4 linked regions of the Arabidopsis thaliana genome follow. The protein of the gene in region 3 interacts with the protein of the main gene of each other region in a biochemical or structural test. Each region holds a gene or a part of one and is shown on either strand. Other genes may lie near its edges. The genes, in order: XI-I, DCP5, DCP1 and VCS.

Region 1 (6,298 bases), on a different chromosome or scaffold from region 3:
GCAAACAAATATAAGTCAGCGAGCGAAGAAAATACACGTATGTGGACAAACAAGATGAGACAGGAATATTGTACCAAGCTTCATCTAAGAGTGCAATCACCCCAATAGGCTTCTGCAGACAGCAAAAATAATAATAGTAGAATTAGAAGAAGATAGATCAATTTTACTGTCATGTCTGCTTGATTATAACAAAGCAAAAACATTAAAAAAAGGACACAATTCTTGAGGCTGGCAACTACAATAGAAAACTTGAAAAGAAGATACACTATTCTATGTTATCTCTGTTATCAAAGTCTACCATACCAGAATGCAATAAAACCATTGACCAAAAAGGGAAATGTCTTTCACAAAATTCTATCATTCTTGCATTTATAGACTGGGACCTTTATCATCCATATTCTATCATGGGAATAGCAATGGCAGCTTGAGTAACTTTAGACACGGTAAATGTATTGGCTACATTAACCAGCCCAACGTATGACACAGTACAATGTAACATTAGTGATACCGTTAATTTCAAAACTATGGAGTTGAGTAATGTCACAGGAGAAAAATTAACATTGAACCGCTCGAATTTTTTTGAGTTGACATGATTCAACAAATCCCCTGTTTAAAGGGTGGTGAACTCTTTACTCGACAATCTAAGTAAAACTATAATAAATAAATAAAACGACATGATATATTGACACCATGATCAAAATCCCATGTTAAAGGTCTGATACAATTTAAGCTGTTGCAAGTTTCAAAGATCACAAAAGGCGAAGGGGCAAGAAAGTAGAACAGAACAGGATCTAAAATCTTAATCTAATTAAAATAGAGAGAAACGTACCTTCTCAATAAGGTCCAAGACATCTTGGTTGTCAATAAACTCGATATAACTCCAATTAATTTCTTCTTTTCTGTACTCATCCTGCTCCATCTTGAATACATGCTGAAAACAGACCAGAGACCATAAGGAGAGGAAGCAATATACTAAATCTGGCAAAACATTTGAAAATGAGTTCCCTATATTACCTCGTTGAAATGTTGCTGCAGCTTTTCATTTGCAAAGTTGATGCAAAATTGTTCAAAACTGCAGAATGAATCAGCCCAGATAAAGTTTACACAGTTCACAGCTAAACATAGTGCACCATATATAACTAACAAAGAATTGGGGCTGAGAAAGGAAAGAACTATCATTTAATTAGTTCCATGGATCATCGCTAACCTGTTATTCTTAAAACATTCAAAGCCATAAATGTCCAGGACTCCTATTTGAAAACGAGATTCTGGATCTTGCCCAACAGACTTATTGATCTTATCAACCAGCCTGACAGAAGCATAAAACGAATAGTTCAAACATAAGTGTAGTACATCAACAAAACATCCATTAAATGAAAGGATTAAGAAAGTCGAAAGCAAACCAGTCAAATAGATGGGCGTAAACAGTCTTCGCGAGGGTATCCCGGCTAGTAACAGCAGCATTAGGGTCAAGTGCTTTGATAATGATACCTTCACGGGTCAGAATTGAACGTGTGCAGAGCGAAGCCAGCAAAAGATTTGCATCACACCTGATTAATTTTGCATGGATACAACAAAATAAACAAGCTATTTCTTCGTATGCATAATTAAAAATGAGTACTATCAGAAAATTTTATGTACTTGAAAAGATCAGCAGCCATCTGCAGATGATGTCTAGATTCCGGATCCTTTACCACTGAAGAGTCGTGCTCTCTCCCTGAGGAAAACTCAACATTTCCAAGATGTAGAATCGCAGCAAGTGTGCGAAATATCCCTTCCTGATAAATGATTTGTGCAGGAAACAAGCAAGGAATTTCAGAAGCTGGCAGAAGAAAAACATATGAAAATTCAATTAGAAGTCGTTATACCTGCTCATCCTGACTTATGCCCACAATATCCATTGCCCTCCTTGTATTCTTATACTCTTCTGCGCTGCTGACTCCTTCTAATTCATAGGTCTTGCTTTGATTTAGATAATGAAATTGACGAGGGTTGCTTAGTTTATATTTCTCAGCGTCCTAAGCAAAATAAGAACATTTACAGATTAGTAATTAGCGTAGGTAAATTGACAAACTCAGCGAGAAAAACCTGGCGTAGCTCAATCAGATAATAAGAAAACCAAAACCAATCTCTTATGACATGTATATAGAGCTGTAAAAAGAATTACATTCCCCGAAGCGCACAATTGATAAAAACAATGATAATTCCTCTCGGGGTCTGTTATCCGGACAACACGTGATCTCTCCAGAAGATAGGTTCTGATTGCGGCACCAGATATTCTACCATTTGTGTCAAACTGGATTTCGACAAACTTTCCAAAACGGCTGAACAGCAAAAGAAGATCAGTAGATTGGTCAGTAGATTCGTCTAAAAGCTAGGCACACAAAATTTCAACCAAAAGGTTTACTAAAACCATATCAACATCATAAAGTGCTGTTATCACTGGGTATTAAGGATACTATCATGAAAAATTTGTTGACAAATGACATAAGAGCAATTAAAGATACACCTCTCAATTTTCATTGAAAAAATAAACAGAAAGAAAAAAAAAAATCAATAACCCACCTGGAATTATCATTTCTAACTGTTTTTGCATTGCCAAATGCTTCCAAGAGAGGATTTGACTGCAGAACAAGAATACTTAAATTAGAATAGATAACTCGCAAATAAAGAAAGTCAAACATGATCACCCCTAAATATTTATCTGCAAACAAATACCAGGGGAGGAAAACAAAGGCATCTATCCAGTTCTTTTTTTCTCATTGAACAAGATAGAAGACACAAATTTTATAACCAAAATCTTACTTCAAGGACTTGCTGCTCAACACTTCTATCATCGTCAGTAGCACGTCCCCCAACAAATGTAAGATACTGCATGATTAGTTTGGTTGTCTCAGTTTTTCCAGCTCCACTTTCACCGCTAACAAGTATTGACTGACTTCGACTGTCGTCAATCATTGCTCTGGGTTATAAAGAATAACTATGGTTAATAGATTAACATGACTGATAGTAAGATTTTAAAAAATCAGAAACATTAGAGAAAAAAGAGTGGATCACCTGTATGCAACATCAGAAACTGCAAAAACATGAGGACTGAGCTCACCGAATGGTGCTCCCATGTACTGTTCCATCATGTGCCCATTGTAGAGATGTGGAAGCTTTTTGAATGGATTAACAGCGATCAGAATGCTTCCAGTGTATGTCTGAAAAAGAAGTCGAACGTATTTGTAAGAAGATAATGCAGTCATGAATGATTTACTATTGGAACTGCGTAAAAAGCTGACAGTTATGAGTGGCAAAAAGAATGATACAGGAATTATTACCACCAATACTTCCAACTAAATATTATCATCTCAATGGGGACATAAATAAATTAGACACCAAGCTGCCACCAAATGTTTTACAAAAGGGCAAGCCAGCTGAGTACAAAACTGTCTAAAAAATAGATACTTTCACCTACTAAATACGGAACAGAAGCTCTCCATAACTTTAGAAGGAATATTGAACCTACAAATAATTCACAGTCACAGGGCAGTCCAACAAACTAACAAAAAGTTGTTACGAATACACAAGGTTGATTATCCCGCTCCCGCCAATAATATTGTTAATATTGAAAAAAGCAATAGTTAGGGTTAGATCACAAGATGTTTGAAGTGCGATTAGATACCAAATAGGCAAGTAAATGCCTGTAATGATATATGCATTATGTCACAATAAATTTCTTCACTTCGATATCTATCTTTTTCGGCTAAATAATATATCAGGTCACATCTAGATGCATCCATCATAAAGAACCTGAATCCACTTCACATGGAAACATGTCTTACACCACATATTAATACACAAGAAACTCCAAAAGCAACAGTAACTCGTTCTAGAGGAAAACTCCGGCCAGTGAGTACACTAATACCACTACGAAAATGAGTAAACTTCCATACGGAATGAAATCCGACTCAATAAAGTACCCCCGGAAGTATAGAAACTAAAAATTCAAACTCCAAATATACTCAGAAAGACCTCTCAATAAACAATACCAAAGAAAAAAAGAGTGAAAAGAACTCACATAGATATCATTCAGAGCATATCTCCTCTGTAGATTATAAAGAACACCAGCTTCGTGCAAGTATGTCAGTTTGGTCATATCATCCACTCCATTATGCTCTTCATCGTCAGGATCCCTCCGAAATAGCTTTTCCGGGGAAACAAAAACCTAAAACCCCAGAAAAAAAATCGCACAACAGCAAAAATTAGCATGAATAAAGCATGAAGAAGAGGAAGAAGAAGAAACAGAGCTAATTCAGCAGAAATAACGGTTAATCAGACCTTCTTCCCAGTAGAAGTTTCAACATGGAGTTTGTTATCAAAAGAATCGAGGACATCAGCAGCAATCCAAGCCAAATCCTTATCTTCGACCCAAACCTTGTCGCCCTTGCGCAGATTCAATTCCATTGGAAGACAATTTCTCATGAACTCGTGAAGAGCTCGACGAGAAAACCCTAGAGAATTAGATTGGGGGAAGCAAGAGTCATAGAGAGAGAAAGAGAGTCCGTGAGGTTGCGCCAGAGAATTTTTCAAATTTCAAAATGAAGAAGAATTGAGAAACCCTAAGGAGATAGAGAGAGAAGGGGCGAAATTTTACTACTGTGGAGTTTTTTTTTTTTAAAGGTTCAAAGTTACTTAAACCGCTACCCAAAAAAGTTCCCAAAAGCAACAAAAAAAAAAAAGAGCATCAACAACAACAATTACTTCCCGCCCTCTCGGATTTTGCATTAAAAAACAAAAGAAGACTAGATCCAAAACAAAAACACAGAAGTTTTTAGGGATAAAAATTTACGTCACATTCCGGAGTAAATGCCAAGTTTATTATCTTTGATTCGAATCATTTATAGGGTTTAATCCTTACTCGCAAAATTGATTTCACATTAGTAAAACAAACTGTGTAGTTAATTTACTGACGCTAAAAACTTGTTATTTTTAGTAATTTAGCAAATTAAAAATAGTAAGTCAAAAATGTAGAAGGCAATATTTGAATATAACATTCTTAAACGATAGTTAGTGAGGTTTATTTATATTTATTATAATTACTAGATCTCTTTTATAGAGAAAATATTCCAAAATTTGTTGTCGATTATTGTTGTTGTAATTTCATATATGGTGATGAGAGTCCAAATAAGAGTTTGGGGGAAGAAGAAGTCCAAATTATTATCATCCAATACGCATGAGTCCAAATTTACATTCCAGATTTCTTCCTTCATTCATATTTTAGACTTTAGTTTCCAAAAAATATACTAAATTTTTCTTACCCCCTACTTATTCCAAAAGTTTTATTTAATTTTTATCTTTGTTATGTGAGTCAATGTGGATCAAAGCTTAAAAGGTAAATTGATAAGGTAAATATAAGATCTACATATAACAGTAGCAACAATATCATCAACCACGTACACAAAAAAAGTACTAATGTTGTTTAGGTTTGTGTCATCACACAAGCATCCTAAGAAGGCCACAGTACAAACTCCAGAGGCCTATATGCACTACTGAAACTTATGACTTGGAGCCATTTACAACCCAAACACCACACCACACAACACATTATTTCTATAATCTGCAGAAAAAGTTGTATATAATCAAACATTTGGCGCAAAACCCTAATCTTGCAAGAGATTTGGACTGCTGAAAACGCGTTTCAAACTAGGGCACACTGTTCGGAACTTTGACATGCTCACCGAGGATATCTGTTAATTCACCAAGACAAGGTTTTAATTGTTACATAAAAATGGATTACTTGCTAAGTTTTCAATATCGAAGTTAACACTCGTTTATTGTTAGTACCTTTGGACAGAAACGAAGATCCAATGTCTCGAGTGAGCTGCATCCTGATATAGCCGCTTCAACTCCTGCTTCGTCCATGTTACAAGACTACCAAAGACAAAAGGTACCAAAGTGTGTTTAGTGGTAACATATAGACCCAAGCTTAAGGTACCAAAGTGTGTTTAGTGGTAAAAGTTACGGAGCAAAAACATACCTGAAGAAAGAGACTAGCTAATCTTGGACAGCCGAGCTTCAATACTTCCAGAGAGCAACAGTTGCTAGACAATTCGAAATGGAATTAGCAATAGAATAAGACCACTCATTTCATGGAAGATAAAGAATATAAGTTATCTAGCAAATGCAAAAGCTCAAACCTTAAATTAAGTAAAACCAGGTTGGAACAGGTGAGATCAACCTCCTTCAGATTGACCGATAACGAAAGGTTCAGTGTTGATAAATGGTAAAAGCGAGCTGCAGGTGGTATCAGCAC
Region 2 (7,495 bases), 6.4 Mb from region 3:
CCCTAAACCATTGACAGTCATTGATTCAGAACCGCGTCTGGGGACATTCCTCTTGGTCTGAAGGAACGTCAGTTTCTCAAGCAGTCCGGTCTCAGCTGTGGCAATGGCTAAACCATAGGTATAGAGTCCGAGGAATACATGCCAGGGAAGAAACGTGGTTCTTGTAGTCCGTACTTCTCCTCTATGCCAGAAGCTCATGAACCCAGTCACCCACTGCAACACAACGTCATTTTACTAATCAATCTTCAAAACTAGTACAACCCCAATAAAATATTTAGGACATAGAGCATAGGTTGAAGTGACAGTAATGAATGGGTCTAATTAATAAATCGTTTCATAGTCTCTTAAAGGGAATCTTGTCAGCTTTCAGCTTCCGTAAACAAATTAGAATCTAATCCCAAGTGGGTTACACAGTTTCTTCCTTTTGTCATTCTTTGCATTATTGTTGAGAAAACATTTTCTAAAGAGAGAGAAATCATAAAGACAGTAACGTGTAATCCGACCTTTTGAAATAATTTAAATCTTGGAAAGCATCTAGTTCTTTTTCGATGATGCATTAAAACTTTATCTCAGAGGCTTAGTGCTAGTATAATATAGAGATAAAAATAATATTGGTTGGTGGTGGAAAGAGGAAAAAGACGAACCTGGGCAGCGAAGAGAGAAACAGAGAGCAAACCCATCCAAGAATGGAGACTGTAGAAATTGGCGAAAACTCCACGTTGGTAATGGAACTTTGTCCAAATCCCAAACACTGCAGAGGCCAATGCCATTCCTTGTAGCCATAAATGAACAGCTTTCTTTGTTTTCCTTGAACCAGGCAACCATCTGTGTATCAGAATCGCTGCAGATCAAAACCCCAAGTTCTTGATAAAATATTCAAGAAAGAGAGAGAGAGAGAGAGAGAGAGAGAGAGAGAGAGAGAGAGAGAGAGAGGAAATCTTCAAAAGGGGCATGAGGAGGGATCATCACTACCTTCTCCACTTACAAGAATGAAGCCAATCACCATCAGCAGAGGATGAAGAGTCTACAAGGGTATAAAAACTTTATTAGAGAGAGAAAGAGAGAGAGAGAGAGAGATCCAATTTGATATCAACGAGGAAGGGAGTGTGATAGTTACAGAGTAGCTGAGTCCTAGATTAGGCAGGAAGAGAGCCCAGTACAGAACCGAAACTGCGACTACTAAACCGGACAGTCTCGCAAACAAGACCAATGATAGTCTTGAAGGATCTACACTTCCCATTTCTGTTTTCTCTCTTCAAAAGTTGAGTAAGTAGTGCTACTGTAGAGTACAGTGACTACAGTCTCTCAGACACTAGAGTTGCCGACAAAATGATAATTTGAGAAATAGAGAGGACATTTTATGGATCTTGTATAAAGAAGACCTCTCTATCTCTTAATAAGGCCCATTTGATTCAAGGCTGCTGGTACTGTATTGAAAGTCAAAATGTTTGACTTTTGAAATTTAGACAAGAAGCTACCAACAGTAAACAGCAACAAGCTATTGAGAGTAAATAGAAAATGCATTTCACACCAAATGTCGAGTATACAAAAGTTCAAAATAACATTGGATATAAGAAGAACGACGCTATTACCAAGTCTTAAAAACAAAGATCAGAAATCAAATTAATACACTCCAAAACCACACAAGTGGGGTTTTATAACAGAAAACATTACACGGGACTCGGTTTTTGTTTTATTGCCACATACCAAAAGCACTCAAGAGCTGAGCTCCCATTGGATTTTGAGTCTTTAGAGCCCTTTCTAGCAGAACAGTTTAGGTAGTACGATTTGATACGCCTCTCCCCTGGCCACGTCCACCATACCCGTAGCCACCGCCGCCGCCGCCACGGCCACCATAACCGCCATAACCACGCCCTCCATAACCACCACGTGAGTAACCGTTGTTTCGTCCATAACCACCACGCCCTCCTCGACCTCCTCGGAATCTCGAGAATTCACCAAATGTCTGAAATCATAGCAATACGTTCTGTTAGTCAATGGGATTCTCTTACGATTCTGGGAATTCGAGTATCTCCAGCAACGAGGGGGGACAAACTCTGTCCAGTCTGCTTGCTATTCAGAGTGTGGAAATATATAGATTGTACCTCAGTATCTAGTTTCCGTTGCTCTGAGAACCTAGGCCTTGAATTTTGGGACTCTCGGTCAATGGTGTTTGATGATAGGCTATCGAAAAAGTCATCTTTGTTGTAAACAGGCTACATCAATAAACAATGTGGATGAGACCAGAGAGGGAGAATATGGTGGCTTTACTTGATTATAAGTCTACTTCACTTACTTTGGCCTCGATCTTAGGAAGCTCAGCCTCATCTACAGTCGGGGAATCATCATCTTCATCACCATCTAAGGTAGTACTCTTCCCAAGATGACCCCATACTTCATCCTTATTGAACTTTTCGTTCATTGCTGTGAAATCAAAATCTTCAGTGAATTTCATTACTTGGTGTGATCTCTGCCAACAAGAAGAATTATTAGCATACATGGCTAAAGTTCATGAGCTATTTTAAACTGGTAGATCTTTTCCTTGGTAAAAACAAATAAATGCCGTCACATTCTACAAATGAGTGAGAAGAATAGTACCCCTGCTCCTCTTCCTCGTCCTCTTCCACGTCCCCTGTAACCATTATGATTTGGGAAAGAATGCCCGTTTGGCTGAGAAAAAAAATCAGCAATTGAGTTTAAATAATTTCACCATGAAGACTTATAAGTAGACATGCAAAGAAACCATCTTATACACCAAAGAACCCTGAGAGATTTTCATGCATCTTCAACAAAGCAAAAGAGACACAGCATGGAATATTAAAATGGGAATTACCACAGGTGCAGTTATAACAGTTACACCTTATTCCAGCTAACTAAGACACCAGCAAATTCAAGGTTCTTTATGATATTAATAAGAGACATTGAAGGATTTGGCATGTTATGTAAGTTAAAAACCTTCTGAGTTGGTCTTGCAGAGGAAGGCAATGGCAGTATTGGAGGTTGGGCTTCGGATGTAACTGGAACAGATTGTTCCAACCCAGCTGATGACGATACTTGAACCACCTCAACATCTTTATCAGCATTTGTCGAGGGTGGGGACAAAGAGACTGCAGAAGATCCAGACTGCAGCAGTTGACCAGGAGTAACCAACAAAGGTTTTGGCTTATCTTGGCTAATGGAACTAGAAACTCCCGCAACAGGAGCAGATGTTAATGGTGTTGTCTGCGGCGGAGAAATTGGACCAGTTACTACACTAGGCTTGTTAGACAGTGGAAGGCCAGTACTTGCTTCTGTGGCTCTCGTAGTAGATAGAGAAAACGAAAGCAAATTAGTATCCTGAGGTAGGGTAGGAGGAGCAGTAATAGGAGCTTTGTTTGACAGCAACGGAGGTGCCATCTCTGAAGCTAGTGAAGGAGATGGTGCTGATTGCAGTGTAGACTGCAGGCTAGACGAGAGCGTCACAGGTGGTAGACCAGGGAAAGGCAATGAACTAGGAGCTAACATTTGAGAACTGGTACTAAAAGGAAACAATGAAGAGGGTGCTTCTGGCAAGCTTGACCCCTGCAAAGATGATGACCCAGTAGGTGGAGGAGGGGTATTAAAGTTAGGATATTGCAGGGGTTGCTGAAGAGAGTTGGGCATTGGCAGCCCATGAGGGGGTCGAATCAGAGACTGCTGATGCAATTGGGGAAGGCCATTGGGAGGTGGGGTGTAGAAACCTTGCCAATACATTGGTGGTTGTGGTGACGCTCCCCATGAACCAAGATTTCCACCAGGCTGATACAAAGGCATTGCGTTTTGAAATCCCATTCCATGTTGTCCAGGTTGTCCATTATGAGAACTAATGTCAGGTAGTGACCCGCTCGCAGTAGAAGGCAAGCTACCAGATGTTGGCATCGGGCTAGGGTAGTGAGACTGCAAAACCAAGACAAGTGGAGGATGGGGTTACATCAATTGACTCCAAAATCCCAGACAATGTAATCTTACAACTTTTCTAACATTCACCTGAATTATAGCAGGGTCATTATTTATAGTAGATGCAGGAGGCTGAACTGGTGGAGAAGCTTTGACTTGCAAATCCTACCAACAACAAGAACAATCAGAGTACAAAATCGGCAGGCTACTTACATAGAAGTATTAGCATAATCCTGCTGAATACCTTGATATCAGTTCCACGGAACAATATGTACTCGTAAACTTTGTCACTTGGAGGAACTTGTGGACCATCTTTTTTCCTTCCTTCAGTTCCAAATGATCGAACTACACACAACAAAAGTTCAGGGATCAGAACCAAAATCTACCTCATCGACCACTTAAACACTGATCTTTTATGCTCAACCAATAGTTTCAAGACATCAATTACAATTTGAGAACTCAAGTAATAGACATGAGCACTAAAACAACATTCCTTTCAAATCGAGCTAAACAGTTCAGATTGGAGAAAACTTTCTTAACGATTAACGGAAGAAACCATTAGTTTCTACCAAATCCGAGAGAAAACACCACCAAAATTAACACTTAACAAATCTGGTAATCCCGAAACGGAAGTGGAAACGGATCGTACCGTTTTGAAGTCCGATACTGGATTCATCTGTATTAATATTGTAAAGGATCCCTTCGTATCTGATCTCACTCTTAGATGTCAAACTAATCAAGCTCCCAACGTAAGAATCCGCAGCGGAGCTCGATTTCGAACCCGTATTATCAGCCGCCATATCCGATCTATGTCTCTCTTCGCCGACGAAATCACAGCCAAAGAGAGAAAAAACTAAAAGACAAGAGAAGGCAAACACACACACACACACTTCGAGTTCCTTGATCTCCTTCTTCTTCTTCTTCTTCGCGAGAGAGAGAGAGAGAGAGAGAGAGAAAGCTACAGATACACAATTAGGGTTTACTCTAATTTGGGGAGATCGAGCATCTCTTTTTTATTATCCATTCCCATAAAAGCCCAATTCAGAAAATAATATCAATCTGACCATTATAGCCTAGTATGGCTCCATTGACTTCTCTCTAATCACTAACCGAAGTATGCCTCGTGTACACGCGAAGGGTTTATTTCGTAATTCACCGCCAATGGTGTGTTTAGGCGAGTAGCTACGAGCCTACTCGAGCCATTCCAATCCCACGGCTCGTGTTCTGATTGCTTACTCTGGTTAGAGTTTATTATTTTATTTTGGTAGGATGGTTAGAGCTTATTATTTACATATTAATCCTAGTATCAAATCTAGTGTTATTCATAAATTAAAAGGCCTTTTAAAAAATGAATTTTGAGAAATATTTTTGGTGATTTCACCTACATTTTTAGTTGAAAATTGGGGTTAAGAAAATCACACCTTTTTTTGTCAAGAAAATCACACCTTTTTTTCTCAAGAAAATCACACCTTTGGAGAGTTTTAATTATTAAAAAAAAAATCAGACCTACATTTCTTCCTTGTTAAATGACACTGGTTCGGCACTTTGTATATAGGTAGAGAAGTCAACTGATGCCAAGAAAATAGTGCAACCAATGATTAATGATCAGAGAAGAAGAAGACCAAAGACAGTTTAATTAAGGTGACAAAGTCAATGAAGCCTTGTTTCTTTAATGCACTTTCAGTGTTCTACAAAAACACAAACAGGCAATGACGAAATAATCAGTGTATTTGCAAACCGGGATACAATATCATCATCATCAAAGTTCAAAATCATCTGTATCGTCAAAGTATAGTGGGATCTGTTTTCCTTGTTAAGTAATATGCACATTGACCCGTCTGTATCACTGGAAGAAGGAATGTACTTCCTTTGATCTTCTGGGAGATAAGAGTGTAGGAGTTAGAACGGACTGACCCAGTGAGCCAACTTCAACATGAATTCAGGTACAAGACGCCTTCTATCTACGCTTTTACCAATCGCTTCTTGATCGTCTCCCAGAACCACTGTTACTATATCTTCAAACATCTCATCTATTCCACCTCTCATTGGATCCTAACATAGATAACCAAGTTTCTAGATCAAAATTCAGGTTCTTGTCCGACAAGACATTCATACCTCAAAAAGACCGGCCATTTTACCTGAAGAAACAAATCCGTGTGTGTTTTCCCCTCGTAAAGGATCACTTTTGCTTTGGCCCCAAGCCTCTGGAGGGTTTCCGCAAAAGATTTACTGCAAAGATAGTGTAATAGAAGTTCAATCATCATCTTAACTTTCTGATATACATAAGACAGACAAATACACACAAAAGTTAAACCATACCTTGCATCTGACGGGATGGAGTAGTCATCAGTACCATGGAATAAAATAAAAGGTGGGAGACGAGCAATGATGTGTTTGAGATTCGGGTTTTGCACTACTAATTCAGGAGAGAACTGCCTTAATGATTCCTCTCCTTCCATGATGCTGAGGAAAATCAAACGTCACACGTTAAACTGTAAAAATTTCAGGCTGCTCTACTGGCCAGGTGAGTAACGTAAGCTATACCAAGATTCCAAAAGAGAAAATGCTATACCTCAGAAAGATGGAACGGTACAGCCCCCTGCTATGGAAGTGGTCCACAAGGTTCAAAAGGTTGTATCTGTAGATCACGATCACAAAGTTTGTTAAGAATAGCCAAGCAGATGATGTGAGGCCTCATCAAAAAATTTGTTGCTTTAGTTGGGTAGAAGGCAGGAATCTACTTGCTACTTTGAGCTAATATTTGACCATTACTTCACCGTTCTACGAATTGCCTAGCATTTCTACAAAAGACCTTGGTGGCTAGATAAAAACTGGAGTTAACACATATATAAATACTCAGGCAATTAAAGAAACTTGTTTTTCTCAACTTCTTGACAGAAAAATTTACATTCCAATGTATCGTCTTATCCTTATAACTGGGAAGACCAAAATAACAAGTTATTAATCTAGTCATTTGAACTCTGAGACCAAAAGAAAGGATTTTGCTTACCCTCCAGATAGACCAAAATAAGCATTTATTTGTGAACTACTCCAAGAGACACTGTCCCCCTCCCCTGACTCTTTAATGACCTGCTCTACAATGGTGCAAGCTGCGATATGTGCACCAGCAGACTGACCCATCAGATAGATCCTACACAGCAAAAAGATCAGAAATCAGTGAGTAAGAAATCTAAAACTCGAGAACTTCCATGTCTAATAATTGTTGACAGGACTAGTACCTATCTGGATCACCTCCATACTCAGCAATATGATTGCAAACAAATGAGATGCCAGAAGAAGCATCCTTGACCATGTCACTAATAGATCCTTGCGGAAAATTCCTGTGTAAGAGGAGATATTGCCAATGAGATTGAGAAACTCTAAATGAATACTGAAGGAGGATGAGAGGAACCCACCACATTCAATGTGCCAGAACAAAGAAAAAAAACTCAAAGCACGCATAACTTACCTGTAATCAATGCATGCCACAATAATATCTCTTTCTGATAATTGCTGTCCTAAGAGAGAACCCCACGCCTTATAACTGTATCAACACAAGACATTCTGTAAGATATTTGCA
Region 3 (6,717 bases):
GGGACAGATACAAATCCTAATGTAAAACTAAAAGGACATCATTGAGAAACCTAACCTCGACGGCAGAACGGCAAATCATAGTATTGATAGGTCTCACTGCAAACAAAACAAAACACCAAACTTTAAAATGGGGTTTAAGAAAATGTGCCATCTTTGAGTTCCATGGTCAAACTAAAGCTAGAACAAAAACATATCTTACACATTCTCTAACTTGATCTCCTCCTCTTAGATTACTCACCCGTCATCATAAGCCAATAAAAAGCAAAATGCATAAGAATTACCAAAAGATTTGAATTTGAGAACAACCTCGGATTGTGGAGAGGACCCACTTTGTTGACGAACAAAGGGACATGATCGCCGGCATTATAATGGTTCGACGAGCCTGATCCGATTCCGATCCAGAAGGTCAATGCAAGTAGGACTTGTAGTACAGTAAGCAGAAATTGCGCCATGAATTGGCACTCTTCTTCTGCTGGGTTCCAAAAGAAACGAATCAATATGTGCAACAAGAAGAGCTCCAGAAGCAGTCATCTTCTAAAATCTTAATCTAACAACAGCTCAAGAAGAAAAAAATTCCATAGCTAGAGAGAACACAAAGTCACAAGACGACGTCGTAGAGGCACAAAGTCAAACCTGAATGGCTTAAGCCGAACTGAGTGGTTTTGACTAGACCATCATCAGAAAAGTCTCCAAGACGGTAGTCGGATGTTAGATCGCTCAAGTAATTTTTGGTTTTGTTGGTCTCACGTTTTCAGCTGCCCATTTGATTTCAGTTTGGGCTTTTCCTTATCTCTAAAGGCCCAATTTCATTTAGGTTTAGTTTATTTGATCATTATCCTTACTATAAAGGCTTCGCCTTTCGAGAAATTTAGGGTTTCTTCTGTCTGTCTCGTCACTCAGGTTTGTGCCTCAACGACTGCTTCACTTCTAGCTTGATTCTTCTTCTTCGTTTATATGTATACTGTACATTAGATTATTCTTGTTTCTCGAGCTTCTGCTATAGATTTTGATTCTTTTTTTTGTTGTCTTTGTTTCGTTTCCAGGATCAGATCTTAGCTAAATTGAGACAAGCTCAAAATGAGGTACTTGACGCATCTCTTACATTCACTGTTTAATTAGAGAACAATACGTCTCTGAATCGTGATTCAGAGACGTATTGTTCTTCTGTCATATGCAATAAGTTTAATTAGAGAACAATACGTCTCTGAATCGTGATTGTTTTTTGGATGTGCGTTATTGATAGCTTTATGATGTTAATAGTCTAGGATTGACACGAAGTTGTTCTGCAGTTTTGCATAAATGCTCTTTACTAAGGCCTCTAAATTTGGATGACAAATCTAAATCTTGCCTCATAAAAATTTAGGTGTATTAAGATAAGATTATTTTGTATGGTAGTGTCTATAATGTGGGTTGTTCATGTTGAGGTTGTCAATGTTGTGTATTTTTGTTTGTTTAGTTAATTTGCTTAACTCTGTTCTTTGTGGGTTAATACAGTAAGCTTCAGAGTGAGGCCGTTCGTGAAGCCATCACTACTATCACAGGGAAATCCGAGGCAAAGAAACGTAACTTTGTCGAGACTATTGAGCTCCAGATCGGTCTGAAGAACTATGACCCTCAAAAGGACAAGCGTTTCAGTGGATCTGTCAAGTTACCACATATCCCCCGTCCTAAAATGAAGATCTGCATGCTCGGAGATGCCCAGCATGTTGAAGAGGTGATATATCTTTTCATGGAAATTGATCATTTTGTGCTCTGTTTCTTGTATAATGGTTTTGTGCTCATTTCATTTGGTGGCTCTATTAGTTTCATTTGATGTTGTATATGTCTTCTGAATGTAGATGCATGATGTTTTCGGAATTTGGTCATTGTTTATTTAGGCTTCATTTCTTGCATAATTAAATATTTGCTTATTTCATCTTGTATCTTTTCGTAGGCTGAGAAGATGGGGTTGGAAAACATGGATGTTGAGTCTCTAAAAAAGCTTAACAAGAACAAGAAACTCGTCAAGAAGCTTGCAAAGAAATACCATGCTTTCTTGGCCTCTGAGTCTGTCATTAAGCAGATTCCTCGTCTTCTTGGTCCTGGTCTTAACAAGGCAGGCAAGTTCTGGCTACAGCTAATATTCCATTGTTCTTCTTTACATCCGTTTTGATTTTGGATAGGTTTTAGTAGTCTATTTCTTTTGTCAATGTCTTTTTGATACAATGCCAATCCTTTATCCTGTGAGATTATGCTTCTTTGATGATTCTTAAGTAACATTCCTTTGCTTTACTTTACACAGGAAAATTCCCAACTCTTGTGAGCCACCAGGAATCCTTGGAGTCAAAGGTGAATGAAACAAAGGCAACAGTGAAGTTCCAGCTGAAGAAGGTTCTGTGCATGGGAGTTGCAGTTGGTAACCTTTCAATGGAAGAGAAGCAGATCTTTCAGAATGTGCAGATGAGCGTCAACTTCCTCGTCTCGCTATTGAAGAAGAACTGGCAAAATGTCAGGTGTTTGTACCTCAAGAGCACAATGGGACCACCACAAAGAATCTTCTGAGCTTTCACCTACTTAAAATTGGTGGCTATAAGACACTTCTTCTTACCCTTTCGTTTTTGTTTCAGACATATCTGTTAAACAGTGTAAGAGTTGTGCTGCTACTCTCCTCTTTAGCTTTTGGTTTGGATAATTTGAAATAACTGCAGTGATTTTGGTTAATGGATTTTGTAGCTTATATTATCTTTGAATTAGATGTGCTTATTTCAAAGACGAATCAATCCACAGATGTGAATAAAAACAGAAATTTTCGTTTTCAATTTGAAAATTGTCCTCGTGGACTGTTCCATAACCAAATTCTATTGACTATGCAGTAATTGATCTTTGAATTAAAAGGATCAACCCACTGATTATACTCCAATTGAATAAATATTCTTCTTTAATGTTGTTTATAATCTCTTAAGCAAGCTCTAATGATGTATTTTTGAAGCAAACTCTAATGCTTTTATGGTCAGTATATTTATTCTCTTAAGTTTTATAACTAAATTACCATTTTTTTTTGCCAAAGCAGACAACAAAATAGCGAAGTGCGTTCCAAAAGTTAGCGTTTTCGTCTCCGTCCCCAAATCTCTCAGCTACCTTAAATCAGAATTCTAGGGTTCTTCCGATTAGGGTAAAATCGAATCCAGATTTCCCAAAATTCTGATCTTTGATTTATAAAAGATGTCTCAAAACGGGAAGATAATCCCAAATCTGGACCAAAACAGTACGAGGCTCCTCAATCTCACAGTTCTCCAGCGGATCGATCCATACATCGAGGAAATCCTCATCACAGCCGCTCATGTCACTTTCTATGAATTCAACATTGAGCTCAGCCAATGGGTTAGTCTCAATCAATCTTCGATTACATAATTTGATGTTTGCTTCCCTACCTAATGATTGATCTGTCTTTTGTCATTCAGAGTCGTAAGGACGTTGAAGGATCTTTGTTTGTTGTCAAAAGGTTACTACTTTCGATCTTTAACTATGTGTATCTTATCTTTAATCGTCTTCTCAAATCTGATTGGATCCTTTTTTTTGTTTCTTTCAGAAGTACACAACCTCGATTTCAGTTTATTGTGATGAATCGTCGTAATACAGGTCAGGATTTATTCAAATAAAGTTGGTGTGTGTCATGTGTCTAGAAAAGGTTTAGATTTAGTAATATATTGCAAGTTCTTATTTAAGGATTCAGTATTAGTAATCATCAGTGTGTTGCTGTATTTGTCTGGATAGATAATCTGGTGGAGAATCTCCTGGGAGATTTTGAGTATGAAGTACAAGGTCCATATTTACTTTACCGTAATGCATCTCAAGAAGTAAATGGCATTTGGTTCTACAATAAACGTGAATGCGAGGAGGTAGCAACTCTTTTCAACAGGTATGTATATATAAGTCACTGCATATCAGGTAGAAACTGTTGGTTTCAATTGTTGGATCATGAATAATATCAATATCGTCTTTTATTTGCCTATTATCAGACAGTTACTTGTTGGCAAATATAATGTTCTTGTATATTTGTATGAACTTGAAATTACTCTTACTCGTTGTATCTCTGCCTAATGGTTCCTTGGCATGACAGAATACTCAGTGCATATTCCAAGGTTAACCAGAAGCCAAAGGCCTCATCTTCAAAGAGGTAATATTTTCATGATTAGATTTAGTTAGTACACCATTAGTTGTTTCTTGGATGTGTTTTCTTTGAGGTGGAAACTTGATAATCTAAATCATTTTTCCCGCTGTTATATCTCTTACTTGTTAAATTAAGTTAGATTTTCTATGTACTGCAGTGAGTTTGAGGAATTGGAAGCTAAGCCTACAATGGCAGTTATGGATGGTCCTCTTGAACCATCATCAACTGCTAGGGATGCCCCTGATGATCCTGCTTTTGTCAACTTCTTTAGCGTAAGTTTCTAAAGCTTCTGTTACACACTCACACTATCATCTTCACCATGACAGCATCTTATACGACTAATGGCAGGAGGGCTTTCTATTAGTTCTAGCCTTCTAGGTTCTTGAATTATCTTCAGCGTAGTATATGGTCCAACTTAGACTCCTCAAATTGTAACACTGAATTTATCTAAATTGTTGACAGTCAACGATGAATCTTGGGAACACTGCGAGTGGGTCAGCAAGTGGACCTTACCAATCATCAGCGATTCCTCACCAACCTCACCAGCCTCACCAACCCACCATTGCTCCTCCTGTAGCGGCAGCAGCACCTCCACAGATACAATCACCACCGCCTCTACAATCCTCCTCTCCTCTGATGACTCTCTTTGACAACAACCCTGAAGTTATCAGCAGCAACTCCAACATTCACACAGATTTGGTGACGCCGTCTTTCTTTGGCCCCCCACGAATGATGGCACAGCCACACCTCATTCCTGGTGTATCTATGCCCACTGCTCCTCCTCTCAATCCTAATAATGCGAGTCACCAGCAGCGGTCATATGGTACTCCGGTGCTCCAGCCTTTCCCACCCCCAACTCCACCACCATCACTCGCTCCTGCACCCACTGGTCCGGTTATCAGCAGAGACAAAGTGAAGGAAGCCCTTTTATCCCTGTTGCAGGTTCGTCCTTTACCACATCACTTTATTTGAGCTGCTGTGCAAACCTAACGAGTTGCTTTTGACAGGAGGATGAATTCATTGACAAGATTACCCGAACTTTACAAAATGCACTTCAACAATGAAGCTGCGCTGGTCAGCATCTACGTGTGGGATAGTGGCTGTTTGATCTAGAATGTGTAGTTAAAATGTAGTTTTGTTCCCTCTGAAAGTGTTGTTGGAACCTTATAAGATACTGCACTGCCCCCTTTGTTTAACTCTTGGAATTACTTTTTCATTTTATCTACTTTCAAGTTTTTACCTTTCCTCATCAATTTTTGTTTCGTAGTCGAAAGACATGTTAAAGACTTTAGATTCACAAATCTTCATGCATGTTTAGAGTTTATTGGAACATATACACATCAAGATTAATACAAAAAACATGAAAGAGTAAGAAGAAAGAGAGATAATTTTTCTATTTTTTAAAAGATTCGAGATTGCAAGACAAAAACTGTTTGTATGGTTCAAGTCAAAGACGTATTGTGATGTTTCGTTTTGAAGTATTATCCCAATCTTTTGTGAGCTTTCCCTCGAGAAACGCTTTTAACATTTAATACTTTAGTTAGACTGACAGACATTCTTAAAATCAAGATCATATAAGAAAGACTTGTCGAGATATAGAATGAAACATCAAATAGCAAAGAAAGCTTTGTTTTGATTGATAATATTACACATAACCAAGAGAGAGCATATAGTACAAACGAAAACAAGAATAGTTATCCTTAGAAGTAATCTTCAGTCCTGCCCTTGAATCCGATTTGTCCGAAAGTGAGGCAGAGGAAGAGGCCTAAGTGCCACGTAACCAACCACAACCAGAACTGTGAAGTGAGAGCTGGAGGAGTCGGGAAGTGAGCGAGCTCAGTTCCGATGCTATCGAAGAAGAGACCCGTCAGGCTCTTCCCATTTATCGCTGGAATGCTCGACGGAGCTAGCCATCCGATCAGCCCAAATCCTACCACGTTCAAATCTCTCCTCAACCAGTTCCTCTCAAAGCTTTAATTCATTTTTGACACAAACAAATAAATTTATTAGAAAATACCCTAAAAAGCACCTCAAAATTAAAACAAGCTTTATTAAGTTCCTAAGATCAGTTAGGACTCATTCCTATATCTTAAGTAACATAACTAGTGATACTTCTGGAGTTTTAAGCATTTTCATAAAATGTGATATCTTTGTTATTACTATGAGAAGAAAATAAAGAGTAACCTACCAAGTGACTCTTCCTCCCGATGCACCGGCGAGTCTCAAAGGGTTCTTGGCGCTTAATGTTGGTTTTAAAAAGGCTAAAAAACATACGAGAAATCACAAATCAAGATTATCATATGCATATATATGTTTGATTGAAATTATTCGAAAAGAGAAAGAGAGAAAAAGAGTACATGAAGAGAAGGGTTTGGTGGTGATGGATGATCCTCCGAGGCCTATCACCGTCGATGGTGTTGCAAATGTTGCTGCCATTTTTCTTCTTTGCTGCTTTCTCCCAAACTGATCTCCTTTATTTTTTTAAGTAAATACAACACAAACACAAGAAATAGATTTTTATTCTGTGGACAAAGAGAGAGATTTCGAGGATGTGTTATCAATCAATA
Region 4 (9,289 bases), on a different chromosome or scaffold from region 3:
GTAGAGAAATGTATATGATTTTAGTTTTCTCCTTTATAATTTTTCTTCTTTTATCGCATCTTTTGCTCTACTTTTCAAATATACACGAAACAAGTAGACCAAGTAAGAAATCATTTTATTTGATCTTGAGATATTTAAAACTATTGGCAATTCGAAAGAACACACTCACTATTTCCTAATTTTGGTACTGTTTGTTTTAGTAAACCAAGTAATATTTTCTCTTTAATCTGTTATAAACAACTTTTTGTTCAAATCCATAACTAATAATGATGACACTGTTCATTAAATATTTTATCAAATTTGTTTCTCTACACAAAAAAAAAAAATAGTGTACGAGCCTGTGTTTTAAAGATACTGTAGTTGACAAAGACAACAAGAAGAAATAAAATAGTTACAAACAACCTGTGAAGAATCTAAAGCAAATACATTGGTAAAGTTACTGCTTTAATCCAAACATTGATTTGGCTTTTACACATAAGATATTCTTGTGAAGAAGAGTGAATAGTAAACGTATATAAAACAACCAGATTTTACATTTAAAAGAAGGATGGAAAAAACAAGAAAAACAAAATTCAAACCAAAAATGAAACAAAAATCTAACAAATGTAGAGAGATACAGAGAAGAGTAGTGATTGTTGTATTCCTATGTTTTATATAAGCAACGAACAAGAAGAGAGAACGAGATAAGAGATATCATTTGCAACCCATAAGCATGGAGTTGATCACGTGCATTATCAGTCTGATGGCTGAGACATCGCTTCCCGGTGCGTTGCGGTGATGGTGCAGAATCTGATATACCTGTTCAAAGATTGGCCGAGCGTGGACCGCAATCATCTGGTCTGATGGGTTTATGGCTGCAACCACATCAGTCATCCAAGCCAGCTTACGGGATGTGTCCTTGCTAATGTCACAGGCTAGCTGCTGCAGCAGTGAAAGAAGCACGCCTTGGCTCAGTGGAAGCGGATTCATCGCCAGTAATCCACGTAGATCCACCTGTATTGGCACAATCAATCTCATGGGATCTTATGTATAACTGATGGGTTATGTATGAGATCTTATGATGCACAAAATCCAAACAAAAATTTCACCTGTGAGCAAAGCCATGATACTATAGAGACATCGCTTCTCTGTAGGGCCGAAGTGAAAGATTCTTCGTACTTCCGTTCAGATATCAACCTCGATAGTTCTGTTGTTGGGTCCATAGGTGCTTCAACCTGAAAGGACATATGTTGCGATAGTCAAAACTCAGAAAATGACATCAGATTAGGATTCGGATAAGAGCAGAAATGGTTCTCTAATTATATGCTCTCTGACTCAATTACAAAAGATGAACAGAGAATAAACTTAAGCCAAGAACCAAAGATAGAGAACCCTAGGGGTGAGCACCATAAACTCTCCTAAGCCCAAGGCAGATCCTAGACCAATCCAGAATGCTCAATTCTTCTGCCTAAACTTCCTTCTAAGCTGTTAGTTCTCTTCTCTAGTTAACCGCCTCAACTATGATTGCTAAGCAGCGAAAAGCCACCAAGAGTAACTAAAATGCTCATGCACTAAACAAAAACAAGATTTATGGTTAGTGATTAGTTCCAGAGATGTGCAAACCTTTTCAAGAAGAGCACCCAAAGGTCCGCCACTTAGTTGAGTAACCAAGGAATTAGACCCACCAGAATTTGCTCCAGCAGCTGCGAGAGCTAAGAGATTCCTTTGGGTCTCGGCTAACTCACGACTTAAGGCTTGAGCAACTGACGACGCAGAAGTAATTGATTCCTGTAAAACGAGCAAGCAGCTTTAGAGAGAAGAAAGAAATGATTGGATTTTGCAACCATAACAGAGCTGTAAGAAGAATGATTTTCCATCGTACCTTTAGAGTATGAGCAAGCTGGGAGTGTCCAGAGTCAAACCGTTGCTGGGCTGCATTTGTATGCTCAGCAATACCTTTCTGGAAGGCTGAGTCTATTTGGTCAAACATGGCCTTGCATGCCTTCTCAAAGGAAGGTATGACTGAGGACTCCACACTTGACCTAAGACCTTCCTGAAGTTTATAAACGGCAGGAAATATATATAAGAGATAAACTCCCTTTCCGTTAAACTATGTATGCAGTTGGAGACTTATAGACACTTCTATAAACTACCACAAAGCTAGGTGAACCTCAAGTTTACCTGGAGGGCTTGCTTGCCAGAGGTCTGAAATTGGGCTTGAATTTGCCTAGCTACGGTTGCTTCAAGCTTTATATTAACAGATTTGTCAAGCTGATTAACTGCTTTGTCACCTATTCCTCTCTGTACAAAAGAGAAAGCAGCTTTCTTTTAAGAACAATGAACCTTCTCAAAAATTAGCTCTAAATTTCTCGTAAAATCTTACCTGAAAGGACTCTGTGATTGCAGAAGATACAGTTTTTTCAATAACTGGTACTACTGAACGTGCTAGGGCTGGACCAATTGCAGCCAATTCTTTCTTTATCGTTTTCTCAAACATGGCATTTAACTCCTTGCTCATGAAGTTTGTCGTTGCATTCACAATTTGCTGGGCATGGTCACGTAATGCCTTTTCATTCTTAACAGTCTCCTCCTGGATGCGGGCCCATAGAGCATCAGCATTTGACTTGCTGGATTTCTCAATCATTCTCCCTAACGCAACTTCTAGTCTTTTACTTTCTTTTCCGATAGGGCCAGTGGCAGCATTTGATAGTTGTCTCTGCATCTCCTTCTGCGAAGCCATCACCTGGAAAGGAAATAATGTTTCAGGTCAACAAATAAAAGAACAACAAAATTACCAAGCAATAACTTATCATCGATAAATGTAAGTTATTTATTTAAAACGAATGTAAGATTGGAACTCCTATGTGCAAAATCAAGGTAACAACAAGTTTAGTAGTGTGTCAGTGAAATGATGCAAGAGTATAATAACAGATTTTGTTAAGAAATAGGGTTCTAATTAGTTTCTTCTAGACCAAATATGTCACCTGATTCATCGTTTCTTGCATTGCTAACAACTGAGGAAGTAAATCTGTCATGGGATGACTTAAACTCTGACTTTGCTCATTGAAGGAGTCAGCCAGATTAGCAACATTTGAGGATGTAGATGACAAACCGGGACCCTGTGAATTTTTGGCCTTCTGCTTCTTTCCTTTAAGAAGCTTTGCAGGCCCACCTCTCGAGTCAACACCACTTTCATCTCCAGCCTTTATAGGTTGTCCATATGCCTTAGATTCCCCTGGAATGAAAGTTCCCTCAGTACTAGGATAACAGTCTCTTGCCATCTCAGTGCTGAGATTTGAAACCTGTGAGCAGAAGACTTTTTCTCTATTTTCTGAAGTGCAATTCTCAGTTTCGTCATGATCATTGATTTCACCATTCTGTGTTGACCTTGCTTCACTTATTTCTTTCACCTCTACTTCGGTGTCTCTTGGATCATTATTCACGTCCTGAATATTTGCATCCCTATCTCTCCTGTCTTCAGTAGTAATGGAGGCTTCAGCGGAAGAAACGCCCATCAATATCTCTGAAGGAGTTACAAGATGAGTGGGGTGTTTGAAAAAAGCTGATGGGCTTCGCATCCCAGACACATCATCATCAGGCGTAACATTTGAGTCCTTGCTTCTTGAGATTTCTTCTACGGATGACACGTCCAAATTTCTTTCTCCAACAGCATCCATTTGCCTATCAACAGAGTAATCAGCAGAAGGTGTTTTGCCACCAAGCTCATGATGAGGTATTACTGGCTCAATCGCCTCTACAGGAGTGTGATAGCCAGAAAGTTTACTTGATAGTCTGGGACTGAGAGGAAGTTGGGGTAAAGTAGCATACGCAGAACCTGCACCACTGGTTTGAGATGGCAGGCCAGAAGTTTTAGGTTCACCGTTGGGTGGAACAATTGCTTGTGATGTGGCTTCCGCTGATGGAAAACTCAACTTATTAGCACTTTCTGATCTATTCACTATAATCGAAGGTTTTGGCACTGAATCAACTGAAGGTAAGTCAGTAGGTTTAAGTCCAGATGGTTCTGACATGCCTTCAACAAGATTTGCCTCTCGTGATACACTAGAATCTGACTTCTCCAAACCCATATTTTCTATAGGTGGTGGCAAGCATAAGCACAAGTCTAATGTATACTGCTGGATTGCTAGAGTCTGAACACAATAAACCTTAACAATGGGTTCTTCTGGAGGATCATTTGTCCCAATGAAACTCAATATGGGCATAGTGACTGTAAACTCTGATAGGTAATCCATCCGCGTACCAACTGGAGAAGAACCATAGTCCAAATGCACAGCATATAAGGCGTTCCTTTTTGCATTTGCAAGTAAAAGCAAGCCTGCTTCAGATAATGCTATGACTTGGTTAAAAAATGCCTCTTCAGCTCGTGGCTCGGTTGAACTTTTCAAGTCAAGAGTCTGGGTACACCTCCATGATTCAGCATCAGCTGGTAAAAGCCACCCTTCTTCCCCAGCAGAGACCCAGATTTTCATTTCTCGATTTAGAGGACCCTATGAGAGGAACATTGCCAACACTGACAGAGTTAGCAACTTAGCAGAAACGAAAGCTACAAGTATAAAATGTAAACACAACACAGCAAAGCCAAATGAGATTAGATAGAGCTGAGAAAAGTCAGTAGTATTGATTCAAGAAAACTACCCCCGTGATAAGTATGATGTGATCAGGTCTCTCAGGAGATGTCACAAACGTGGCTGAACTGACTGGATGTCCATCATGAGGCCTCAAAACTACAAGTGGTTGTGCCTTACGATCTTGCCATATCTTAATCTGTACGATGGTTATAAGGAAAGAAAGAGTAAGACTCACACACACAGAAATACTAGCTGTTGCAAAATAATTCCTGGTTGAAAAGAGATGATACCCAGTGCATGTCAGAAATGGAACTTAGCAAACCTTAAAAAATTCAAAATGTGCTAGAATAGTAATTGGATGTCAAATGCACTTACTAACAAGGCTGGCTAGTTCTAATTACGAAAAATGTCAGGATTAGACCCAGTTTGCAACGTAATCAGTATAAACTTGGGTTGTTTGGAATGATTCATTTCAGAGAGGTTTAAAGAAAAGGGATGATATGAACAAACACAAACCGTGCCATCAACTGAAGAAGAAACCAGACGCGTGGTCATCCATTGGCACATTGACAAATCTGTCACTTCTCCATCATGCTTACCAACAATCTGAACACCATCGATCAGCTTATCAAGGGGACACTGGAGAGGAGCCTCAGCAGAGAATACTTCACCTCTGCCAACTTTTGTAGTATCAATACGCAGTACATGTTTACCAATTGAAACTACCAAAATTTCCTGAAAAAATGACATTTAAGCAATCAGAAGCTTGTTCTAAGAAGAATCTTATGCAACTTCTCGTAGCAAAAGAAATATGTTCAACTACCTGTTTGTGGCAGTGCCAACAAACGCGTGGATGTTTGGTGTCTTCCTCTCCTAGTATCTGAAGAGCAAGTACTATCTTCCCAGTTATTTGGGGCTGATCCTCTCCCTCAGACCCTTCAGAAATTTTCCACACAAAAACTTTTCCATCTAGGCTAACACTGTTTAAAAGAAACAGAAAAATAGAGGTATAAACCACAAAGTCGAAGAAGCTAACCAGAAAAACTCTAATAAACAAAGAAGAATTCAATGAGCCACTCTTCCATATATGTACAAATAGCATAGCCTAATTAGACGACAGTTCCAAAACATTACCTGGCCAACATATCAACATCCTCGGCAAAGAAAGCCATATCCGTCACTCTCTGGATATATAACCGTAGTTAGAACTAGATGAGTACCTACTATACTTGAATAAGTAAGTAATTCACAAATTACAGAGAAAAAGTAAATGAACCTGTGAATGGCCACGGAACAGAGACCTCAATGCTGTGTTGATATTGAGAACCCTAATGTTTCCTCCTTTCAATCCATAGCAAATGTAAACCTTATTCACGGCGATTTGCCTACCCACTACGAGCTGAGGATCCGACCCGTATTTGGTAATCGGAGTCACCTCCAGCTGCGGCTGAATCTCACCTTGTAATCTCACATCAACATCGTACACAGCGTGTTCACCAATCAATCGCCTTCCCTTGGGCAATTTACAGCTCGGTACACGAATAGGACCTGAACCGCCGGGAAAAGAGCGAGCGATCTCGTTGTGATTGACTACTGGGAGCTGATGCGACGGCTCTTGGTTAGCCACGGGGGCTCCGTTGTTGGTATTGTTAAGGAGAGCGAGGATGTGCGTACCGGGATTGTGATTGGAACGGGGGGATTGTAGATTGAGAGGTGGCGTGGGATAAGACAGCGTTCTCTGAGGATGCAAGTTAGTCGCGGCGGAAGAGGAAGACACATCCTGTTGCTGCTGAGTCACCGGAGATGGTTGAGCGGAGATACCAGGCGGAGCGTAGTGCTGCTGATCGTACTGGTTGTGAAGAAAAGGACCTGTAGGCGGAGGATAAGATGCCGCCGGTGGCGGATAAGGATTGGATGAAGGTTTGAAGAGAATACCGAGATCAAACGGAGGAGTATTGTGAGGGTTAGTATTACCAGGAGAAGACGCCATAGATTTTTTGCAGATTTAAGATCGCCGAAGCTAGGGTTTGTGAAATCGATCAAACAAAGAGAGGTGTATATAGAATACTGAGCTCCTTGAAAAGATTCCACAAAAAGAAGACTCGGCGGATCTGAAAGTCACATAAAAAGCGAGAGAGAGAGCAACAATAGAGAGAGAGAGACGATGATGACTTGAAAGTGAGAACAGGTAGAGAACTTTTGGAGACTTAGCTATTTTTTCTTCTTCTTTAATGAAAATATTAAATTGGGCATGTCCCAGATCACGAAAAGTTTTGGGGTGATGATCGTGTTTATATCTAAAATATGAGACCGCTTCTGTAAAACAATTTTCAGATTTTACTCGTTTGGGCCTTTAATTTCAATTATTGGGCCCTATTTACATTTCCAGAGATTCACCCATCATTTGTTTCCAACTTCTTGCTCTTCATCGGAACCTCCAACAAAAGAGAAGAAGATGACAAGGATTCTGAATTCATGGTCAGCTGAGCTCACATGCAAGTAAAGGCAACCGAACCCAACAGCAAATACCCTTCAATCCAAAAACTGATCAACTGAACTCAAAAGTAAAGAAAAAGATTTTTTATTGCAATTGCTCAATTTTGACAAATTCTCTGCTTACTGCCACACCAGATTCCCATAATGTCTTCAAACTCATCTGTCTATTCTGCAGGTAACTTGTAGTTACTTCAAAACCAATTTCATTAGAAAATCAGTATACCCTGCCCATACATGATCTTCATGTTTTCTCAGGGTTTTCCAGATCCTAGCAAACTCATTCTCTCGGAGAAGAAAAAGGGAACATTATAGACGTAGAACCAACCAGATGTTTACAGTTAAAGGAAATTGAACTAATGGGTAACCAAAAAAAATCTAACTAGAGTAGAGAGAGAAATACAGAGAAGAGAGGTTTCCTATGTTTTATGCATGTAACTAACAAGAAGAAACAGAGAGAGCGAGATGTCATTTGCAGCTCATAAGTAAAGAGTTGATGACGTGCATTATTAGTCTGACGGCAGAGACGTCGCTGCCTGGTGCGTTACGGTGATGGTGCAAAATCTGATAAACTTGTTCAAAGATTGGGCGAGCATGGACCGCTATCATCTGATCTGATGGGTTTATGGCTGTAACCACATCAGTCATCCAACCTAGCTTACGGGATGTGTCCGTGCTTATGTCACAAGCTAACTGCTGCAGCAGTGAAAGAAGCACACCTTGGCTCAGCGGAAGCGGATTCATCGCCAGTAGTCCACGAAGATCCACCTGAATTGGCACAACACCAGTGTCATGGGATGTTACGCAAAACTGATGGTTATGAGATCTTATGATGCAGGAAATCCAAAAAAGAATTCACCTGTGAGCAAAGCCATGATACTATAGAGACATCGCTTCTTTGTAGAGCTGATGTGAAAGATTCTTCGTACTTGCGTTCAGATATCAACCTTGATAGCTCTGTTGTTGGGTCCATAGGTGCTTCAACCTGAAACAACAATGATGCATTGCAGTTAACGTATATACATGTCAAACACGCAGAAAATGACAAAATATTCATGGTAAGAAATTTGATCCAGAGATGTGCAAACCTTTTCAAGAAGAGCACCTAAAGGCCCGTTACTTAGTTGAGTAACCAAGGGATTTGATCCAGCAGCTGTGAGAGCTAAGCGATTCCTTTGACTCTCGGCTAATTCACGATTTAGGGCTTGAGTAACTGATGATGCAGAACTAATGGTTTCCTGTATAAAAGCATGTTTAACATGAGGATTAAAAAAGGATTTTGCTACCATAACTAGAAGAAAGAGCCAAAAAATCTGGAAGAAGGACGATTTTCTATCATACCCTCAGAGTATGAGCAAGCTGAGATTGTCCAGAGTCAATCCGTTGCTGTGTTGCGCTCGTGTGCTTACCAATTCCTTTCTGTAAGGTTGAGTCTACTTGCTCAAACATGGTTTTGCATGACCTCTCAAAGGAAGGTATGACTGAGGACTCCATACTTGACCTAAGACCTTCCTGAAGTTGACAAATGGCAGCAAATATATATAAGAGACAACTGCTTTTACGATAAACAACGATGCAGTTGAGAATGTATGCACAAGACTTGTATATATAACCAGTCAATCAGTCATAACTGTCTGAAAAGCATAAAAAATATATATACAAGAGACAGTAAGGCATAAAAAAACTAGTTTAAACTCGAATTTTTACCTGCAGGACTTGTCTGCCAGATGTCTGAAATTGGGCTTGAATCTGCCTGGCTACGGTTGTTTCAAGCTTTGAATTAACAGATTTTTCAAGCTGATTGACTGCTTTGTCACCAATTCCTCTCTGTATAAAGAGAAATCAGTTTTCTTTTTCATCAATGGACCTTCTCATAAATCAGCTCTAAATTTCTCTTAAATTACTAACCTGGAAGGACTCTGTGATTGCAGAAGATACAGTTTTTTCAATAACTGGAGTTACTACACGTGCTAGGGTTGGACCAACTGAAGCAAATTCCTTCTTCATCGTTTTCTCAAACATGGCATTTAACTCTTTACTCGTGAAGTTTGTCGTTTCATTCATAATTTGCTGGCCATGGTCACGTAATGCCTTTTCATTCTTAACAGCCTCCTCTTGGAAGTGGGCCCATAGAGCATCAGCATTTGACTTGCTGGATTTCTCAATCATTCTCCCTAAGGCAACTTCTAGTTTTTTACCTTCTTTTACGATAGGGCCAGTGACAGCAT

What was found.
Region 1: the proteins of DCP1 (region 3) and XI-I form a complex in vitro, tested with the Arabidopsis thaliana proteins (one study listed by BioGRID).
Region 2: the proteins of DCP1 (region 3) and DCP5 form a complex in vitro, tested with the Arabidopsis thaliana proteins (one study listed by BioGRID).
Region 4: the proteins of DCP1 (region 3) and VCS form a complex in vitro, tested with the Arabidopsis thaliana proteins (one study listed by BioGRID).

What each region holds. Positions count from the first base shown.
Region 1 is NC_003075.7:16,010,326-16,016,623, forward strand, and holds the start of XI-I (myosin), read right to left. Parts: upstream 4,645-6,298; 5' UTR 4,468-4,644; coding exon 4,324-4,467; intron 4,211-4,323; coding exon 4,064-4,210; intron 3,204-4,063; coding exon 3,058-3,203; intron 2,963-3,057; coding exon 2,806-2,962; intron 2,625-2,805; coding exon 2,566-2,624; intron 2,325-2,565; coding exon 2,168-2,324; intron 2,019-2,167; coding exon 1,869-2,018; intron 1,779-1,868; coding exon 1,642-1,778; intron 1,551-1,641; coding exon 1,404-1,550; intron 1,310-1,403; coding exon 1,208-1,309; intron 1,073-1,207; coding exon 1,015-1,072; intron 932-1,014; coding exon 830-931; intron 113-829; coding exon 75-112; intron 1-74. Other genes in the region: SLOMO (F-box family protein), read right to left, coding at 5,646-5,732, 5,830-5,916, 6,023-6,086, 6,183-6,298. UniProt on the Arabidopsis thaliana protein: Myosin heavy chain that is required for the cell cycle-regulated transport of various organelles and proteins for their segregation.
Region 2 is NC_003070.9:9,022,842-9,030,336, forward strand, and holds DCP5 (decapping 5), read right to left. Parts: upstream 5,115-7,495; 5' UTR 4,716-5,114; coding exon 4,565-4,715; intron 4,261-4,564; coding exon 4,160-4,260; intron 4,081-4,159; coding exon 4,006-4,080; intron 3,916-4,005; coding exon 2,956-3,915; intron 2,784-2,955; coding exon of another isoform or gene 2,764-2,783; intron 2,671-2,763; coding exon 2,599-2,670; intron 2,471-2,598; coding exon 2,297-2,470; intron 2,217-2,296; coding exon 2,106-2,216; intron 1,967-2,105; coding exon 1,775-1,966; 3' UTR 1,500-1,774; downstream 1-1,499. Other genes in the region: AT1G26100 (Cytochrome b561/ferric reductase transmembrane protein family), read right to left, coding at 1-213, 645-841, 973-1,024, 1,118-1,240; ICME-LIKE1 (alpha/beta-Hydrolases superfamily protein), read right to left, coding at 5,815-5,967, 6,054-6,144, 6,235-6,378, 6,488-6,553, 6,926-7,066, 7,155-7,256, 7,385-7,459. UniProt on the Arabidopsis thaliana protein: As a component of the decapping complex, involved in the degradation of mRNAs. Promotes P-body formation. Translational repressor.
Region 3 is NC_003070.9:2,635,154-2,641,870, forward strand, and holds DCP1 (decapping 1), read left to right. Parts: upstream 1-2,883; 5' UTR 2,884-3,201; coding exon 3,202-3,360; intron 3,361-3,440; coding exon 3,441-3,481; intron 3,482-3,568; coding exon 3,569-3,618; intron 3,619-3,753; coding exon 3,754-3,898; intron 3,899-4,099; coding exon 4,100-4,156; intron 4,157-4,307; coding exon 4,308-4,422; intron 4,423-4,612; coding exon 4,613-5,092; intron 5,093-5,157; coding exon 5,158-5,214; 3' UTR 5,215-5,510; downstream 5,511-6,717. Other genes in the region: AT1G08350 (Endomembrane protein 70 protein family), read right to left, coding at 56-96, 307-452; AT1G08360 (Ribosomal protein L1p/L10e family), read left to right, coding at 1,078-1,082, 1,495-1,714, 1,934-2,099, 2,282-2,541; PSAO (photosystem I subunit O), read right to left, coding at 5,851-6,121, 6,339-6,411, 6,508-6,586.
Region 4 is NC_003074.8:4,301,354-4,310,642, reverse strand, and holds VCS (Transducin/WD40 repeat-like superfamily protein), read right to left. Parts: upstream 6,819-9,289; 5' UTR 6,559-6,818; coding exon 5,845-6,558; intron 5,753-5,844; coding exon 5,703-5,752; intron 5,549-5,702; coding exon 5,392-5,548; intron 5,304-5,391; coding exon 5,085-5,303; intron 4,765-5,084; coding exon 4,636-4,764; intron 4,488-4,635; coding exon 2,964-4,487; intron 2,723-2,963; coding exon 2,363-2,722; intron 2,281-2,362; coding exon 2,161-2,280; intron 2,033-2,160; coding exon 1,862-2,032; intron 1,768-1,861; coding exon 1,603-1,767; coding exon of another isoform or gene 1,507-1,602; exon of another isoform or gene 1,215-1,506; coding exon 1,089-1,214; intron 994-1,088; coding exon 694-993; 3' UTR 368-693; downstream 1-367. Other genes in the region: VCR (varicose-like protein), read right to left, coding at 7,530-7,829, 7,921-8,046, 8,150-8,299, 8,403-8,573, 8,769-8,888, 8,970-9,289.